Linked DNA regions of Lonchura striata. The protein of the gene in region 1 purifies or fractionates together with the protein of each later gene. This does not show direct contact. Links are inferred from orthologs where the notes say so. Each region holds a gene or a part of one and is shown in the gene's direction. Other genes may lie near its edges.

Region 1 (3,906 bases):
CGGCTGCTCTCAGACGTGCTTGTTGCGCCATCTAGTGACTGCCACGTCTCCCATCCTTCACCCACCCCCTTTTCTGCCCGTTCCCTACACGCTCATGACAAATCGCGCGCATGTAACAGGAACCAGAAAACTGAAACACCAACAGAAACCTCCCTAAGAGCTCTGCGCCTACATGGCTCTTGCAGTTCTTCTAGAGACGTGTATCGCTGTAGCGTTCTTCCACTACTCAGTGAGTTACAGCTCACTGGCCTCAATTGAGGACAAAAGGAGCAAGGAACAACAAAGGCAGCTGGTGCCACTGTGTGGCACAGGTATGGCTCACCGCCAGGAAACTACCCGGCTCCAGCAAATCCAGGGGGATGACACCACAGCACGTGAATCATCGAAGACACTGAGCCTCAGGCTGCTTCTTTTCTTCCTCACCCCATCACGATCCGTGCTGAAAAGGTTTTAAAGGTCATAATATGGAAGGTAGAAGTGCAGGGCATGATGAGTCAAAGTCCACCTTTAATGGACAGGTCTCAAGTGTAAATAGCATCGCCACGTAAGAAAATCTCTGCCTCCAAGAGCTTTAATCCTAACACACGAAGCCGATGTGTGATTACACACTCCTATTGTTTCTATTTGATTGGGAGTGTGTGAGAGAAGGGACTGCTGCCAGCTCAGACTAAACAAAAGCTGGCATCAGAAAGGGGACACGAAAAATGCCCTGCCGTTGATTTACATAGCTCCTTGTCAGGAGGCAAGTAGTAGGATTCCTGGGCTTCTTTGTGGCTAAGTACGTCACCGGATGCTCTAGTTTGCAGTTTTGGGACACTTCCTTTAGGAACGTTCAGTAGGCTGGGAAAGGGAACGTTGAGCGTGTTGACATTGGCAACGGTGCTCCTCTTGAACGTGCCCAGCGATTAGGACACACAGCATAGACCCACCAGTGCTATGGGAACGGCCCCAGGGCACCGGGGAGGGACGCATGTCCCCTACGTGACAGCGCCGTCCCGTCCTGGAGGGGACTCTGTCACCGCAGCTCTGCGGGCTCGTTACCCCGGGCTACTGCGAGGCGGCTGGACACGGCGACCAGCGCCGGCCGCAGAGACGCCGCTGCCGCTGCCGCCTCCCAACCGCCAGCGGCAGCGCTGCGCTCGGCAGCCTCCCCGCGGCGTCGGACGAGCCCTCCTTCTCCCCGCCCTTTCCTCCCATCCATGGCTCATCCCTCGCCCCGCCCTCCGCCGCGCTCTGCCGCTCCCGGCAGCCGGGCCGGGCCGCGGCCGCCCTGTTTTGGAGATAGTCACCGGCCGCCCGGGCGCTGAGGTGAGGCGAGCCCTGCCCCAGGCTTTTCCCGGGCCGTCCCTGGGCTGCCGCTGGGCCACGGACCCTGAGGCAGCCGGGGCAGCCCTCAGCGGCCTCTCCCCAGGCGGGCGGATCGCCTCAAGCCCCGCTCATCTCCCTGCGCAGCCTCTCTCCTGCCCCGGGCGGGGCGGGGCCGGGCCGCGGAGGGACCGGGCGGGGAGGAACCGGGCGGGAAGCCCCTGGAGGAACCGGGCGGGGGCCCGGCGGGAAGCCCCTGGAGGGGCTCGCGCCCAGCCCGGGCCCTTCCCGCCGCATCCTGCGCCGCGGGTCACACGGCCCTGGCCTGGTTCGTTTCAGGGAGTGCCTAAGGACGATGCGGCCCCCGCATCCCTGCAGTCGGTGAGGGCAGCAGGCGAGGCCGCGATGGCGTCGGGCTGCCCGGCGGCCTTCGGGGACCCGACCGAAGTGCGCGAGGGCTTCCTGTGCCCGCTGTGCCTGAAGGATCTCCAGGCGTTCCGGCAGCTCCAGGCGCACTACGAGGAGCAGCACCCGGGCGAAGACCGGGACGTCAGGGCGCAACTCCGAAGTAAGGGCGGCCGCGGTAAATGCGTTCGGCTTGGCCGTGGGAAATCCCTGCTCGTACTTCGAGTGCTCCCAAATGTCTGACAATAATAAAATATCAATTGGAGGGACTTACAGGCGAGGTATGCAGTTCCATTCTTCCGTAAATCTCCTTGGGCCAAGCATAGTACTAACCTTCTCCCGATACTTCCCATAAATTATTCTAAAGTAGGCGCTAAAGAACATTGCTCTACAAATGTCTGCTTTTATGCACGAGTTTTACTGTTGATCTTTTAGGCTTTTTTGTTTGTTTTTACTTGAAAACTCAAAATTATACTAACCCAGTGAATACCCAAGATTTACTTGAAGACTGTGGAGAATATGGGGAATCTCTGGTACTTACCAGGTTCCAGTTCATTAATCTCTTGTTTTGACAGTAGATAAAGCTGTGGTTGCAGTTAAAGTGTGAAGTTAAGAAAGGTTGTTATTGGAAAAACATGGAAAAGCATGTGGGTGGTGGAACTAGCAGGAAGTGCTGGGAGTGTTCCATATCTGTTAGGGAGTTCCACCCTTCATTAGTATTTGGAAAATCTCTTTGAATTTTGTTTCACTAAGATATTTCCCTTTTTTTACCCCCCTTATGTATACAATGTCATTTTATATTGAGAGAAGAATGTTTAAAATGTTTAAAATCTGGCGATAATTCTCTATGTTTCCTGCAAACTCTGGTTTTAGTATGCTAGAAGTACTGGCCTCGCAGTCTTGATTTGTTTTTCTCTTGAGATAGACTTTTGAAGTACTAACCAATTTTCGTGGTGAAACCCTAACACTGGGCTGTTTAGTACTTGAAAAAGTCTTTATGTGTACAAGCACACTGAAATTGGTAGCTTGTGCAATAAAACAAGGAATGTGTTGGACGTCCTTGAATCTGAAGAAAATAATAGGGAATTTTGAGAATTAAGATAAAACTATATGATGCTTTGTGCAGTGAGATAGGTCCCATAGTTTAAGACATGTTGCTGTTTTACAGTGAAGTCTGACAATGGAATGTTTTAATCTACTGTCTTGTCCTTAGGACCTCATGCTGCTTTATGACAGACAGCAGAGAGCATTTTGTGTCATCTGTGTTGCTCTGAACTGCATTTTTGTTCTAAGAATGTTTTGAGGATAAATTTATCCAGAAGAAAGGTTTCTGCTAAAAGAAGATGAATATACTGGCTTCACATGACAAATATTTGGTGACTACCTGATATGTCAGATAACTTGGGTTTATTTTTTTCAGATCTAGTCCAGAAGGCCAAAAGAGCAAAGAAGAAATTGCTGAAACAAGATGATGACAGAACTGATTCTGGATCTCAGGAACGATATGAGTCATTCAGCTATGGTGGAGTAGATCCATACATGTGGGAGCCCCAGGAAGTAGGTAGGAGAACTGGAAAGCAATACACAGTGGGAATAAGTTTTGATCTGAATTGGGAAAGTGCTACAGTATTGCCTAAGTGGCTTGGAATTGTGTCTGTGTTCGCTAGCAGGGGGTTATGGTTTGCACACTTTCTTTGAGCAGCCGATCCCTTGGGTGGAGTGTGGGGAAAACACAGTTAATGGGGAGAAGAAAAGACATGTATAGAGTCGTTACCCGAACTACCCTTCAGGGAGCTGTTAATCATGTTATTGTTGCTGTCCTGCTGAGATCTGCTTAATCTGTGTTTACCTCTGTGCAACTAGCTTCATCTTGTCACTTTACAAAAAAGATAATCCACTCATTAAAAGTTATAAGTATATAAAATCTCTAGCTTTTGGGCTACACTTAAAGTAGTTGTTAGTTTGCATGTTTGACAAAAACATTATCTAACAATTTAAACTGTCAGCTTTTTCCTTGGATTTGAGGTGGCAATCACCTCTTATTAAAATGGGGTTTACTTAAAAAAAAAACAGATTAAAAAAACAAACAATAAACAAACTCCACTGCTCTGAATATAAATCTACATTTGTAGAGTTTCAAGGATAAGCTGTAAAGGATGAGCCTGTAATTACAAATACTGCTATTGGCAATTGCCT
Region 2 (3,906 bases), on another chromosome or scaffold:
TGAAGAGGTTTGTCTTCCCTAAGGACAAGGACAAAGATGGATTTAAAGAGGAGATGATGCCCTGGGTTTGCTTAGTTCACAAATAAAACCCAAAAGCATTTCCAAGGAAACTGGACAATAACTAAACCAGCACTTTTCAGACACTGAATCATTTAACAATAAGGCTAGAAATCAATCAGCTGCAATTAAATCCCAATTTTTGATACCATTTGCTGTTACTGTGTGTATCCTTTGGCCAGGAGCATCCACACGCTCCTTAAGGCATCAGTTTGGATATGAGAAACAAAATCAGGCAAGAAATAACAAAAAATGTAAGAAAGAAAATACTGGAGTTGTATTTTTCTAGGTAAATCCCTGTTTAAACCACTGAAATCTTTGGAGTTTGTACATGTGCAAAACTCCCCAGCCTCCAGAAAGAAGACCCAAAGCGTTTGGAAGTGAAAAGCAAAATCTTGGCAGGAAATGGAAGGATTAAAGACGACAAAGGTGTCCGTCACTCTGAGAGGAAGTGGGGAGCCGCTTAATTGGAAGTGAAAGGCAGGACATGCTCATTAATTAATTGTTATCCCCCGCTATAAATAGGGCTTTGGCAGCGGGGGAGTGCCTGGCCGTGGGTCAGCTCTGTCCTGCCGGGAATAGCACCTAATCCCAGCGTCCTGCTCCCGGGATTAGCGGGGCAGGAACGGTCCTGGAGCAGCAGCCTTGTCCATCCCGGGTTTCCAGGAGCAGCTCAGGGAAACCGAGTCACGTCCTTCGTCCTTGGGGACCCCAGGGGGACCCTCGGGTGTGCCCAGCTCCCTCGTGTGTGGGAGCTTGGGGTGGGTCTACGAGATTTGGGGTTGTTTGGGGTGGTTTGGGTAGACCTGGAGGGGGTTTGTGTGTGTTTAGGATGGGCTTAGGTTCGTTTTAGGGTGCATTTAGCGCGGGTTGGAACGGGTTCGTGTTGTTTTACGGTAGGTTTGGGTGGGTTTAACTGCGGGGCGAGTCCGGCTGGGTTCAGGCTCAGTGCTCCGCCCTCGGGTCCCTCGGGAGGGGAAGGACGGGCCGGGGCTGCGGAGCCCCGGGGCCGCGGCGGGCGGGGCCGCTCCCGCGGCCGGACTACAGCTCCCGGCAGGCAGCGGGGCCGGACGGGGCGCGGCCGAAGCGGGGCCGAAGGCGGCCGAAGCGGGGCCGAAGGCGGCCGAAGCGGGGCCGAAGGGGGCCGAAGCCGGACCAGAGCCGGGCCGAAGCGGGGCCGAAGCCGGACCAGAGCCGGGCCGAAGCGGGTCAGGGGCAGGCCGGTAGCGCAGCATCCCCGCCAGGATGAACGCGGTGCTGGCGGTCCGGCAGTACGTGTCCAAGATGATCGAGGACAGCGGCCCCGGCATGAAGGTGCTGCTGATGGACCGGGAGACGGTGAGCGGCGGGGCCGGGAGCGGGGCCGGGAGCGGGGCCGGGAGCGGGGCCGGGGCCGGGCCGTGACGGGCGCTGTCCCCTGCCGCCCTCAGACCGGCGCCGTGAGCGTGGTGTACACCCAGTCCGAGATCCTGCAGCGCGAGGTTTATCTCTTCGAGCGCCTCGACTCACCCAACAGGGAGCCCATGAAGCACCTCAAGGCCATCTGCTTCCTGCGGCCCACCAAGGTACGGGGCAGAGCGGGAGGAAGCGGCCTTAAATGGTGCTGGGGAGGTTTAGGTTGGATATTTGGGAAAATTCGGCCATGCAAAGGGTTGTTCAGCCTTGGCACAGGGCAGTGGTGGAGCCACAGTCCCGGGAATTGTTCAAATCCATGTGGATGTGGCTGCTGGGGACAGGGGTCCCTGGTGGCCTTGGCAGTGCTGGGGGAATGGCTGGACACCAAGATCTCAGAGGCTTTTCCAACCCTAAGGATTCCATGGTTCTGTATTCCTTAACTCTGCTCTTCCTGGTGCTGTTTCCATCCAGGAGAACGTGGAGCTCCTGGTGCAGGAGCTGCGAAGGCCCAAGTACAGCATCTACTTCATCTGTGAGTATGCAGAGTCCAGGGGTCCTGGAGCTCCATCAACCTGGAACAGGCTCCTCATCCCAGTGTGGATGGGACGGGCTCCACACCTCAGCAAAGATCACACGGCACCTTCCTGTGCCAAGCGTACCAGGCAGGGGCTTCCCACATGTCCTGCTCAGGGAATGTTCCATGAGTTTGGGAATGAGGCAGAATGACTCCAGCTGGTTTGGGGTGGAAGTCCAGTCCTGCAGGCCAGGAATTAATCAGAAGGATGTCAGGAACTGGGTGAAGTGGCCTCTAGATGTCATCGTGGCTCTGCAGGACGCAGCGGGACCAGGCGCTGGGGAGATGGACAGGGAATGAGTTGGGAGCATCCCTGGGAGGTGGCTCGGGATTCCAGCACCGGCAGGTGCAGGGTTAGAGGGTCCCTGTGGGATCTGCTCCTGCTCCAGAGGGGATCAGACTGCCCATCCCACAGGGTCTGCATGGAGCCCCACTGTCCCGTCCCTGTTTTCTCCCAGATTTCAGCAACGTCATCAGCAAGAGCGATGTGAAGGCCTTGGCCGAGGCCGATGAGCAGGAGGTCGTGGCTGAAGTCCAGGTGAAGTTTGGATGTTTTTAGATAGATCCAAAAACAAAGGGAAGGTCCAGGCTGCCAGACACTGGGAGCAGGAGGGCTGTTGTTCCCAACTGGTGCATGCCAGGCCTGGGTGAGAGGAGGGATGGACACAAATGTGGGATGAAGAGGTAAAAGGTAGAAAAGGTCTCATTTCTCTGTGCCCTGTGCTCTCACAGCTGCTGCTGGTTTTGGTGTCTCACAAGGTGCTGCCTAGCTCAAATCCATGGGGATGTGGCACTTGGCAGCAGGGGGTTAGAGGTGGCCTTGGCAGTGCTGGAGGGACAGTTGGACTCAGTGGTCTTAAAGGGCTTTTCCAAAGCCAGTAATTCCACGATTCCTCATTTTTGGTGCTGATGAAGAGCTGGGCACCAGAGCAATGCACAGTACCAATGGGAGTTCTCAGCGGGGTTGGAGGGGTTTGGGGTGGAGGAAGGAAGGATGTTCTGAACCAGTGTGTCCCGGTGGTGGAGGGGGCTGTGTGGTCAGTGGTGGCCCATGGCTGTGCCTGGGGTCAGGGTCAGAGACACAGGGCTGTCCTGCTGCCTTCCCCAGGAGTTCTATGGCGACTACATTGCGGTGAACCCACACGTCTTCTCCCTGAACCTCCTGGGCTGCTGCCGGGTAGGAACACGGCGAGTTGTCCTTGCACTGGGTAACGTGTAGCCCTCACAACCCGGGGCATTGGGGGGCTGCTGGAGGGGAATGGGCCGTGGCAAGGAGAGGAGCAGCAGGGAGTTTGTGTTCAGCCCCTGGGTATCTGCTGCTTCAGGGAAGCTGTGCTTTCCTGTGAGACTTCAGGGCTTAGAAACAAGGACGTGGGAAAGTTTGGGACCAGTGCATCCATGTGAGGTGCAGCCTTTCCTTCCAGGGCCGCAGCTGGGACCCGGCTCAGCTCACCAGGACAACCCAAGGGCTCACTGCTCTGCTCCTGTCCCTGAAGAAGTGCCCCATGATCCGGTACCAGCTCTCCTCAGAGCCAGCGAAGCGCTTGGCCGAGTGTGTGAAGGTGAGAGCAACCCACAGCACATCCCTTTAGGATGAATTCAGTCTTGGTTAGTTTTTTACATGTGGAGGGAAACACCTGTTTTCAGTCAATTCCTGTAAATTCCATCATTTACTTGGAAGCCCAGCACTAGGCAGGTCATGTCCTGCTCCGCTCCCAGTACAGCATTCCTGGGAGCAGTGTCCCAGTTCCCTGGGGCCTTCAGCTCCTCCCTGGCAGTGCAGACAAAGCAGCACAGTTGGGGTTTCAGCCTCCCTTCCCTCTGTGCCTGAGTCCACGCTGAGAGGGAGCCTTTTCCAGGCGTTCCACGTGGGATTTTTC

The links.
Region 2: the proteins of RBSN (region 1) and VPS45 purify together in Homo sapiens (affinity purification with mass spectrometry; 4 studies listed by BioGRID and IntAct, counting the BioPlex papers as one, with this or other methods). This does not show direct contact. The link is inferred for Lonchura striata from reciprocal best matches to the Homo sapiens genes RBSN and VPS45.

The regions. Positions count from the first base shown.
Region 1 is NC_134614.1:24,100,647-24,104,552, forward strand, and holds the start of RBSN (rabenosyn-5), read left to right. Parts: upstream 1-1,209; 5' UTR 1,210-1,308; intron 1,309-1,644; 5' UTR 1,645-1,710; coding exon 1,711-1,873; intron 1,874-3,130; coding exon 3,131-3,271; intron 3,272-3,906. UniProt on the Homo sapiens protein: Rab4/Rab5 effector protein acting in early endocytic membrane fusion and membrane trafficking of recycling endosomes. Required for endosome fusion either homotypically or with clathrin coated vesicles.
Region 2 is NC_134635.1:2,747,722-2,751,627, forward strand, and holds the start of VPS45 (vacuolar protein sorting-associated protein 45), read left to right. Parts: upstream 1-1,131; 5' UTR 1,132-1,302; coding exon 1,303-1,395; intron 1,396-1,487; coding exon 1,488-1,622; intron 1,623-1,923; coding exon 1,924-1,984; intron 1,985-2,484; coding exon 2,485-2,564; intron 2,565-3,134; coding exon 3,135-3,203; intron 3,204-3,450; coding exon 3,451-3,588; intron 3,589-3,906. UniProt on the Homo sapiens protein: May play a role in vesicle-mediated protein trafficking from the Golgi stack through the trans-Golgi network.